Linked DNA regions of Arabidopsis thaliana. The protein of the gene in region 1 interacts with the protein of each later gene in a biochemical or structural test. Each region holds a gene or a part of one and is shown on either strand. Other genes may lie near its edges.

Region 1 (4,064 bases):
GGTGATAATTATGGGGTAACTAAATTACCAAACTCGTTTGCAGTTAGGAACGAACCGAATGTTCTAGTATTAAGCACGTGTATTGATCCCGCCAATTATATGAGCAGTAAGTCTACTGTTCAATAGACAGAAAAATTGTAAATAGGTAAAGGCCCATTAGTGTGGTGCGGCTTTAAGACCGGCCCATTTTAAGTCGGTTGGTTCAAATCCATCACTTATTGAAAGAGGGAAAAAGAGAAAGACGAGACATTTAATGGTGGAATGGAAAATGTATAAGAAAATATTTCAAAATTTTGTGGCCAATCATTTTTTGGGATAAGGATCAACCAAAGAAGAAGATGTTTTCTATTGTTTATAAAAAGAGAAACTCAATCCTGAATATTATCTTCTTCTTTATTTTCGGATATTTGGGATAGCTAGGGAGAAGATTAAAAAAAATTGTAACTCATCATGTTCTTTCTTTTCTAGCGTATGCAAGCAAACATGTTGCGAATTTTTGCCATGATTAATGAATACCTTTTAACAAACCAAAAAAAATCAAAAATCCATTATCATGGATCTTCTACCTATATTATTGTTATTTGTAGTACCTCTATTTTCTTTCAACGATGGAACGTTTTTAAGTTTTAACTATAAAATTTTGCAAATTACATGAAAATGATTTATAAAATTGATGTTGTTACGGATGGTTCAACTACTTGATTTAATTATTAAGATAGTGTTCTCCTGATTAGCAACTTGGCCAATTTAACCTAAAAGAAACCGTGTTAGAACCATGTTGTCAAGCTGATGGGCGACATGTTTTATTGAGACAACCCCTAATTGATTAGACAAGAACCAAAAATGTTAGTTTGTTATAATAATGTCTGCATGTTTCACGCTTTTTGTTACTAATTCAAGTATGTTTTGTTTTGTAGTGAATTTCCTTCTATGTTTCCAAGCCCATGTTTCAGTTTCTCAAACCCTTCGAAGAGAAAAAGTGGTATCATGGATAAAACCAATTTCTTACGATCCGGTTTGGTTCAAATCGACCAATATATATAAAATATTAATTTTCAAAACAAACTAATTCCCGTAAACGCGCCGAGAGTTGGTAAGGGTTAGGTTGAGAGTTGGTCACTTGTGTGTTGCAACTTGAGACCGGTTATTCAATCCGACTGTGAAAGCGGCTGAGGTACAAACCAAACCCGGTTTGATCAAACGTAGGTAATAACTCTTTGAATACTCGTCTCTTTGTAATAATTAAAAACCAAACAACTTCATGGATCATTAAGACCATGATTATTCACATAAAATATTACAAATCAACCCAATTTGATCAAAACATAGGTCTTTACTATTGTGCAGAGACATGATGAATATTTAAAGATTTAATTAAAATGAAAACGCTTGATGGATCAAAGAAAACATAAGTCAAGATCAAGAAGATAGCTTTCTTGTTTGTAGGTCTAACTCCTGCAACGAGCAATTTTGCTGCAACCACGACTATAAGGATTAGCCTGAGCTCCGTTCTGACAATTGTAATAAGACGCACCTCTTCTTGAACAAGGCACACTGTTCCGTTTCAAAGACTGATAGCTTATGTATTTTGTGGTCGCCAATATTCTTCTATTGATCTCTGAGTCCATTTCTTCTTCCTCCGCCCCGATACACTCTGCTATTGAACCGTGGCAGCCTGAACCATTGTCTCCAGTCGTAGCCCATGCTACACCACCGAGGTCGTTGGCGAAGCCGGCTTGGACCGGAGGTGAAGAGATGATGAAGACGACGAGAATCGTAAGAGTTAAGAACAGAGTAAAGGACTTGTCCATTTTCTTGCCTTTCTTTGGGTTCTTTTGTTTGGTTATTATTGCTTAAGTTAATGTTTATATATACATGGTGAGTGCGTGGACTCGATTTTTTAATTTTGTAGTTGTTGAAGATTTTTTTTTCTCTTTTTTTGTTTTGTTTTTCAAATTCTATTTTGTGTTTTTATTAAAAGTTTCAGTATTTATTTAGAAGAATATGAGACATAGCATGACAATAACTTGTTGATTCGAATACTAGTAACATTTTCTCTTTGTTATATTAAAATTTTGAAAATTTAACGAGCTTCTGTTTAGAATTTTTGATTTCTGTAGTTACAATAGAATTTTTTGAACTTACATTATAGTTTCGAAATTTTACTTGTGTTATTTCGGTATTAACAGAAATGCCACTTGACAGTGAAATGAAAAAAAATGATTATGCAAATTAGTTAATTATTATTAATTGGAGAATTGTTGGGAGTGGTTGAATATTTGTTAGAGCCGACAGAAATTGAACCAAAACGATTTGGAATATTGGAGGGGTCAAGCCTTTTCTCATTATCCATTTGAATTTTTAAAATCAACACTATCATGTTTTATGATCTGAAAGCACTGAATCTAGATGACATTATGAATTTATAATTGACTTGTTCCTTAATCTAGGATATAGTAAGTTTTTAATCACTTTTCTGTAAGGTATTTTAAAAGTCATTTTATGGATTTCGATATCTGAATTTTGGTACTTTCATTTATTAGTAAACAATGATCGTTGGCATCGACCGAGATCAATATTAGTCATTGCAAATTACGTTTGGTACCAACTTTTAAACTACTGAATAACAAATACTCAAAAATATATTATCATAGTTCAATTTTTTAATTAAATACATATTCTGAAACAACGAAAAGCTATGCTTCATCTTCTCTTCCAACGACCATGAAAAATTGAAAAGAGTTGGGCCATCGTTATCCCAATAAAACAAAGAAAATAAAACCTAATCCTTCCTTAACTACAATAATCGAAAATCATGTTTTAAATAATAGATACTTCTAAAAAGCGAACCCTAATTTTCTTAGTCTCACCGAATCAAAACGCGTTTCTCACTCTCACCGGCCTTCGTATTGTTTAGAACCACGGATGAGTCGTCTCATAAAAACATGACGACATTAATAGAGTACATAGCAAACCAATCTAAGTAAATCGAGATCTTGGATATCATAAAAAGATAATTGGTATGTAAGACACATAAAAATTAATAGAAATATTTTCTTTTGACAATGCAAAAACTGTGTTCACATACACAAATATCAATTTCATGGACTTCTGAACACAAACAAACAATACAGACCTTTTCTTCTCCCATGAGTTCTCTCTACTCAATTCTAAGGTTTTACGAAGATACAATATGTAAGAATTAAGAAAGCTTCACAGTTTCATCTTTCTAACTTGCTGAGAACGTCATCCATTGGCGGTAACTCCTTCGATATCTCAGCCCAATCCGGCATCCCCTGAAAAAACAGAGTTTTTATTACTTACCACAAAACCTCCTCAAAAACCAATAAGTAGATATCAAACACGAGAAAGCAAGAGAGGAAAAGGTTTCTAGATGAAACTTACTCTACCCGATCTGCGGACTCGACCATCTAACCGCAGTATGATGTACACATCATCGCCCGGGTTAACTCCTTCAGATATCTGTTGATCTCTTATCCACCTGAAACAAACAAAACCAGAGACATCTTTAAGACTCAACAACAAAGTTGCCATCTTTCTTCTATCAAACTTTGATCAGCAACAAATGGCAATGAAAGTTTCGACCTTTCCCATTCACCAGGCGAAACAGTCTCGGCCTTGAACCTGATTTCACCTTTCAGCTTCGATTGGGCTACAACCGATTGAGCCCGTGTATCAAAATCTTCCTATCAAGTTAAGAGAACATCACTGTTTTGCAAAATGAGAATATTTTGTTTGTTTTTTTCAAAGACAGAATCTTTTCGTTACCCCAATTGAAGGAAGAGATGTAGCTGCCTTTGAAGAAGCTCCAAAACCTTTTTTCTCGATTTCCGGTGTTTTGCGTTCACCCCATACCACAGGAACTAAGAGAACACCTCGTCTTAGGAGCTCGGTTCTGAACCTATCTGCTTTTTGCATCGCAAGTGTAACAGTCTCTTTTTTCCCAGCTAGAATAACCTAACGACAGTGTCAATCACTACTCAGAAACTCAAAGGCTAATTCACACTCCAGGCAGTAAAAAGTAGAAAAAGAAACTCACAGGT
Region 2 (6,726 bases), on another chromosome or scaffold:
ACTCCCAAGTCTATAAAGCCATCTGCCACTGTTGCCGATTCAACTAGGCCAGGAAGGAAGTTGTCAAGAGCTTCTGTTCAAATGGCTATCAATCACTTGGTAATAACGTTCTCTTGTCATTATTTGATTATAGCTAAATATTTTTGTCATTTATAACGTTTATCGTGGTCAATAGTATAGTAACGTTTTTTATGAGGTTTTGCTTGACGATAATAGTGTCACTTCAAATGCAGGACTTGGCACGAAATGGTAAAGTTAGTACACATACGTTTTCAAGCCCAATGTTGTATCCACACAGCATCAGATCTTCTTCTTCGGGTCTAAGAAAACCGTGTGGTAGTAGTGAAGGCAGCTGCAGCAGCAGCAACCATGAAGAGGAAGATGGAAGAAGCTTAACGAAAGAAGGGAACAACACAGAGAACAAGAACGATAGTGCTCGTTACGACGCACTCTTGAATGTTAAAGATGTCAAGGATACAAACTGGCTACTTAACATTGATGATGAATCTCCTCAATCTCTCATCTTCGACAATGCTTTTGACTCTCCTCCTGATCTATTCTCTCCTCTCTGAGACTCTGACTCCTTTTGAGTTTTCTTTCCTGTTTGTTGTAGTTAAAAACAAGAGAGCTGCTTGGAAAAATAATCCTGTTTCACTCTTTTTAAATTCTTATGCAATCAAGAGAAAAACATTACACATAGTTCTTCTACTCGTTGTTTTTTTCTTTCAAAGTGTTTGTTTGTATTGATCAGCAGAAATATACAACTTTGACCCTTCTTGTTTAAATCAAAATATTTGCAAGAAAAGACACTATTGGTAGGATTCCGTTAAAATGCGTCTATATAGTAAAACAGAGAAGTGATTGATGTACTTCCGTTTATGTTCATAAGAGTACGACTTTGTAATAAATGGGTACTAGTTTGTTCATAAGAGTACGACGTGTAATAGAGTAAAGATGCAACAATTACCAAAAACGTTATAGATAACAAACCAAATAGTACATTGACGCGATTCATGTTTAATGTTTTTGTAGAAAGAAGAAAAAAAAATACATTATTTTTTACACTCTCCATCGTGGCATCAAATACACAAATCCAAAATTCTAAATAAATAACAGCAAAGAGAATAATAATAAATAGTTAAGAGGAAAAAAAATATAAAAAAGAGAAACGAACCGGTCTCCTTTGGATGGAGCCGGTTTAGAAAGGTAGTAGTGTTGTACCGTGTTATAAGACTTCTCTAACGTCCCTTTGGATTCATGATCTGAGAAAACACAGCACTTGGAGTGAGTCCATCTGAATCTTCGCTGGCCAAACTCCTACCACCGATGCTCATATCTATTCCACTGCTCCTCGAGTCCGTCACATTCCCTTCATACACATCAGAACTCTTGTCGTTCTTTCCTTTACAGTTTCCATCATCGTACTTAATCTCATCCATGTCCATGTCACCGCATACTCCTTTTCCGTTCTCTTCTGCGCTTTCCTGGAGCTGCAACGCAAATTCTAAGTTCCACAGAACATCTCCCATTGATGGTCTCTCAATGCCCTGGTCTAGAACACACTTCATCGCGGTTTCAGCAAACTTTTTGAAGCATTCTGGTGTGATCTTGCCCTTGAGGTAGGGATCAACGATTTGATCTAGCATGCCTTTCTTGTAGCAGTATGGTGCCCACTCAGCTAAGCTCACTTGTTCCTTTGCAAGTGTTGGGTTCAAGGCTGGACGAGCGCATAGAGCTTCGAATAGAACAACGCCAAAGGAGTAGACATCGGATTTCTCAGTCAGTTGCTGCCGTCTGAAATACTCTGGGTCAAGATAACCGAAACTTCCTTTCACAACTGTGCTTACGTGTGTGTGGTCTAGTGTAGGACCAGTCTTCGATAGACCAAAATCAGAGACCTTGGCCACCCATTTCTCATCCAATAGAATGTTTGTTGTCTTCACATCTCTATGGATGATTGTGTGTTTTGCACCAGTGTGTAGATAGTGTAAACCTCGGGCTGCTCCAATGCATATCTCAAGACGTTGCTTCCATGGAAGAGAAGGATTCTGGGTTTTGTAGAGATGCTCCCTCATTGTACCATGAGCCATGTAATCATAGACTAAGATCATTTCGCAGTTCTCTTCACAGTATCCAATCAAGGACACAAGATGACGATGTCTAAGCTTTGAAAGCATTTCAATCTCAGTCTGGAACTCATGTACACCTTGCTCGGACATTGGGTTGCCTCTCTTGATGGCTACCTTTGTAGTTCCGCCATCAATCTCTCCTCTGTAAACCTTGCCGAAACCACCAACACCAAGCACCCGGGACTCATCAAAGTTTTTAGTGGCAGCTTTGATCTCAGCAAACGAGAAGTGACGGCAAAGATTTGACGGAAGGGACGAGGCATAACTTCCTGTTGTGTTTGTCTTCGCCGAGCCAGCAGAATGTGAGTTTCCATACAGAGATAGTGGAAGCCACCCTGATGTTGCATCACTAGCAGGCTGGTAATCACCACGCTTACGTCTGCGGTAAGCACCAAACACACAAAACCCAATGATAAGGGCCAGAACAACTGCACCACTGGCTGCGCCTGCAATAATAGCCGTATTGCTTTTCGATTTCCTAGTAGTCGGGCGTAGGACTTTAGATGGATCAGCAGTCACCTGTGGACCAGGTATAGGATTGGTACCAGCCAGATTACCATCAGAAGTATTCATCTTGAATATCTCCACTCCATTAAGAAGAGAATCATAATACTCCGGCTTGTTAACTGGGTTAGGATGAAGAGCAAGCCACAAATCTTGCTGTCCATTTCCCTCTGGAGGATTCACCACGTAATCCTTGTGAAACGGAACCCCGTTTGAACTAGTCCAAGCAATCACATCAGCTTCAGGCTCAGCAGTTTGATTGTTGAGGTAGATTGTAAACACCCGTTGGTTGATCTTAGTGATATTCGAAGAAACCTCACAGAAATGAAGTCTAACAAGGTAAGTGAAACCAGAGTCAATGCTGAAAATCCAAGTAAGATTGTAGTTGAGATTGATCTGAGCTGTTGGACCCATAGACCTCGCGGTTGAATAAACATCCACAGGAGCAACATAAGTAGGAGTCCCCGTAGGATACTTAATCGTCATGTTGGGATCAGCAGTCTCTGGAATACCAAGTCCTGCACCAAATATATAAGGCTGATCATCATACCACGACCTATACAAACCCGTATCCGCGGAAGGCGAGATATCATTCCCTCCAACATTGAGCCTATACACATTCTCAAGAGCAGTACTGTTATCAATAGTAACAGAGCCAGATGATCCAACCATAGTCAAAGTCCCATCAGTACTACTATACATATCAGGCATTGAAGTAACCTCAATCCCATTAACAAACGCATACGCATTAGACGGAGCTGATTCCGGTGTAAACGTCATGTTCAACGTTCCACCTTCAACGTTGACAACAAACTCCTTGATGATGAAAGCGTAAGTCAACGCCTCCGCCGTCTGAGAAGCACTGAAATTCTTGAGAAGAGTGTAAGGACCAAAGGAGACGGAGAATAACGAGTTGGTAGCGTTGAGACCGTCGTACGAGTTTGGGTAGAAGTAGAGACGCACGAATTTACGACCTGATGCTACAGGGAAAGTGTAAGTGAAAGGAGATCGGAAAACTCTCGCCGTCATGTAAGGAACTTCGGGAACGGAAGGATCTTGTGTTAACGCTGGTGATGTTTTAGAGTCTTCAGAGGAAGATGATAAGAATTTTGATTTGACATCGGAGATCCATATACGGTTATCTGTGTCGGTTAGATTAGAAGCACCACCACCGCAATTCAATAGGATTTTCTCTGTTGGAGAGTAATCAGCAGCTGAGATTAAAGTTGCTGCAGATATGAGAAGAAGAAGAAGAAGAAGAGAGAGACGGAATCGTCCCTCTGTGATCTTCATCGATCAAGAGCACTTCTCCGGGAAGATCTTCTTCTCAGATCTATCAAACGAAAGAAAATCGAAACTATAAACTTCACAGATCTAAAAATGGAAAGTGCTAGAGGTACATGTTCGTTTGGTTACGAAAATTGAGCTTAAGAAACAGATGAAATTGAAGTTTGAATACAGTAGTAAGGGAGAGTGAAGTGAGGAAGATGATGATGATGATTACATACCTGAAGAATCGGGGAAGAAACCCTAAGCGATGAAATCGGAGAGAGTTTTTGGAGAAGACAGAGATATTTTGGGGGAGAGAGAGAGAAAATCAATTAATGAGTGGAGAGGTAAGTATAGTCAAGACGACGACAAAACGGACAAGCATTGTTGCTTCCCTCTACGCGTTAACGTTATTTTAATTTCAATAAGATTAAATTAAGATATAGTTATCGGGTTTAATTAATTGAAGCCGGCTTGAAGGTGGGTGAAGTGACGATAATGACCTTTGAGTATCAACAGCTGGAATTATATATGTCTTGACCATTCGAAGGATAATGTTGATTGGTATGGTTTGGATGACAGTTCATAAAATGTGAGAGAGTAAATCCATTAAACTAAAGAAAAGACAAGAGAATTTTATGAAACGCGTATTTTTGTGTGCGGTGGTGACTGCTCGTGGCTGAGCTGGTACTCTATATTATACTATAAAGGGAAAGAATGGGGCCTGCTTTGATAATAACTCGTTAGTTAGTTAGGATAGTTTACGTAATCATGGGCTTTTTACTCTGATTTCAGTTTATCTCCTATGGCCCAGTTATAAGTGGGCCTTATCTAACGTGCACATGATATATGTTTATGACAATCGGCGTAGCCTCCTTTTGATCGATCATGTCTAAGGTAAGGAGTAACCTTGATCTCCGATGTCAAATCCAAGTAACCTTGAATACAAATAAACCGTGGTTAAGGCCGAACGTGTGCAATTTTTTTGGTCTACACCTTCTTGATTCAAAACAGAGTTTGTGATCCTTGTTTTCTCAGTCTTTCAAAATAAAATAAAACTTTAAACCATTACATCAAACATGCACTAAATATTTACATTAACATATCATTAATTCTCTTTCAGACAACACATTTTTTTTTGTTTATGCCAATTTTAAATAATAAAAATTACATTTCAAACATACATGTTTCTGCTACTTCGCATTTGGGCACGCATGAGACGAGTCACATACATACACTCTTCCCAGTTCCCACTCTTAACTTTTCTTCACTCTAGGCAAACACAACCACCAAACCTACCAACTCGCTTAAATCGAAGCTTACCAATCACACTTGAAAGCTTCGGAGAATGATTCTTACTTAAACTCATATCCTTACTTGCATTTGTTACACTCAGACTCGCCGCACCAGTTGCAGCTGTTATAACACAAACATCACATTCTGTCACCATGCAATTACCGCCTAAGACCTTGTTTCTTCCATTTACTGCTTGGAATTCAAATTCAACGTGATCAGCCATTATATTTGGTTTGTTTCCCTCACCACCACCTCGATGCATTTCGGCATCCTCATAAAACACAAACATGTGATCCCTTTGAACCTCAGGAGCTTCTCTCGGAGCCCAACACCTAAACACTTTCTCTGCTTTACCAGTGACCACCCTTTTCTTTGTCTTCCATCTGCTTACGCACCTAACGCCAAGCCCAGCGTTGTTGTGACTATCATCCGAAAACGATACTACAACGAAGATAGCAAACCCCAAGAGTGTCTTTCGCAGGGAAGGAGTTATCTCTATCGTTGCAAATGAACCTGCCCGCAAATTATAAGAGGTTGCCTGATCTGCTCCTGCAGGCCCGCAAATGCTGAATGCAAGTGCTTTGATGAGTTCCTGGTCCCAACAAGAAAAAGGAAAATTACATATACGCTAAAGTATGTATGAGTGAGAAAGAAGGGACATGAGAACGAGAGAGTTACCTGCTGATGTTCGTTGCCAATGCTTGCTACTTTAGCCAGGCCTTTTACAACTCGTTTTCTAGCCACTTTTGGAGACTTATTGAAGCAATCGCTGAAGGTGTAATGACTAGGAAACTGCTCAAATCCCCAAGAAACTGACTCTAGAGACACACAACCATGCACGTTCAACAGTTTCAGGCTTTGGGGAAGCGCCGGAAGCAATATGAGGTTTCTACAATGTCTTAATCTAAGGCTATGTAGTTTAGATAACTGCTTTATGCTTTCAGGGATTTTGCTGAAACCATTCCGACCAAGATCCAACAGCACTACTGAAGGCAAGGAACAAATCTCTTCCGGTATATGCATCAAGGATGCATTGAAGAGGGATAAAGATACTAGGGCATAAAATCTTGGGACCAAGCCATGTAAACTTGAAGATGGCAGCCTTGGTCGAGGCAAATATTCTCTACGCTGCTCTGCATTCTCATTGAAAGTCAAGAGAAGATAATTCAAATTACTGATGCCAATTTCTGATATACCATTCTGGATAATTGATGTTGATACTTCTCTTATGGACATCCCAGATGGATCCGTTAGCTTAAGTGTGACAAGAGATTTTAAGTTACTAATCTCCATTGGAAGATGTTGAAGCCTTTTGCAATTCTGTAAATCTAAAACTACAAGTTCTGAGAGATGCTTGATTAACGATGTCACTTCCTGTATAGCGGTGCCAGCAAGATATAACTCTTCCAAGTTTCTTGGGATACCTTGAATATCCTCAAGTTCTGAGCATCCAGAGAGATTTAACACCGCAAGAGAACTCAAGTTACCTATTCCCATTGGTAACTTGTGAAGGCGTTTGCAGTTCTCC

The links. Proteins that work in one complex are often made in the same cells at the same time.
Region 2: the proteins of RALF1 (region 1) and FER form a complex in vitro, tested with the Arabidopsis thaliana proteins (one study listed by BioGRID).

Annotation. Positions count from the first base shown.
Region 1 is NC_003070.9:652,528-656,591, forward strand, and holds RALF1 (rapid alkalinization factor 1), read right to left. Parts: upstream 1,931-4,064; 5' UTR 1,812-1,930; coding exon 1,449-1,811; 3' UTR 1,077-1,448; downstream 1-1,076. Other genes in the region: LPA1 (tetratricopeptide repeat (TPR)-containing protein), read right to left, coding at 3,222-3,296, 3,406-3,502, 3,607-3,707, 3,790-3,978, 4,061-4,064. UniProt on the Arabidopsis thaliana protein: Cell signaling peptide that may regulate plant stress, growth, and development.
Region 2 is NC_003074.8:19,116,639-19,123,364, forward strand, and holds FER (Malectin/receptor-like protein kinase family protein), read right to left. Parts: upstream 4,312-6,726; 5' UTR 4,142-4,311; intron 3,967-4,141; 5' UTR 3,927-3,966; coding exon 1,239-3,926; 3' UTR 946-1,238; downstream 1-945. Other genes in the region: AT3G51540 (mucin-5AC-like protein), read left to right, coding at 1-99, 234-572; AT3G51560 (Disease resistance protein (TIR-NBS-LRR class) family), read right to left, coding at 5,170-5,790, 5,877-6,726. UniProt on the Arabidopsis thaliana protein: Receptor-like protein kinase that mediates the female control of male gamete delivery during fertilization, including growth cessation of compatible pollen tubes ensuring a reproductive isolation barriers, by regulating MLO7 subcellular polarization upon pollen tube perception in the female gametophyte synergids.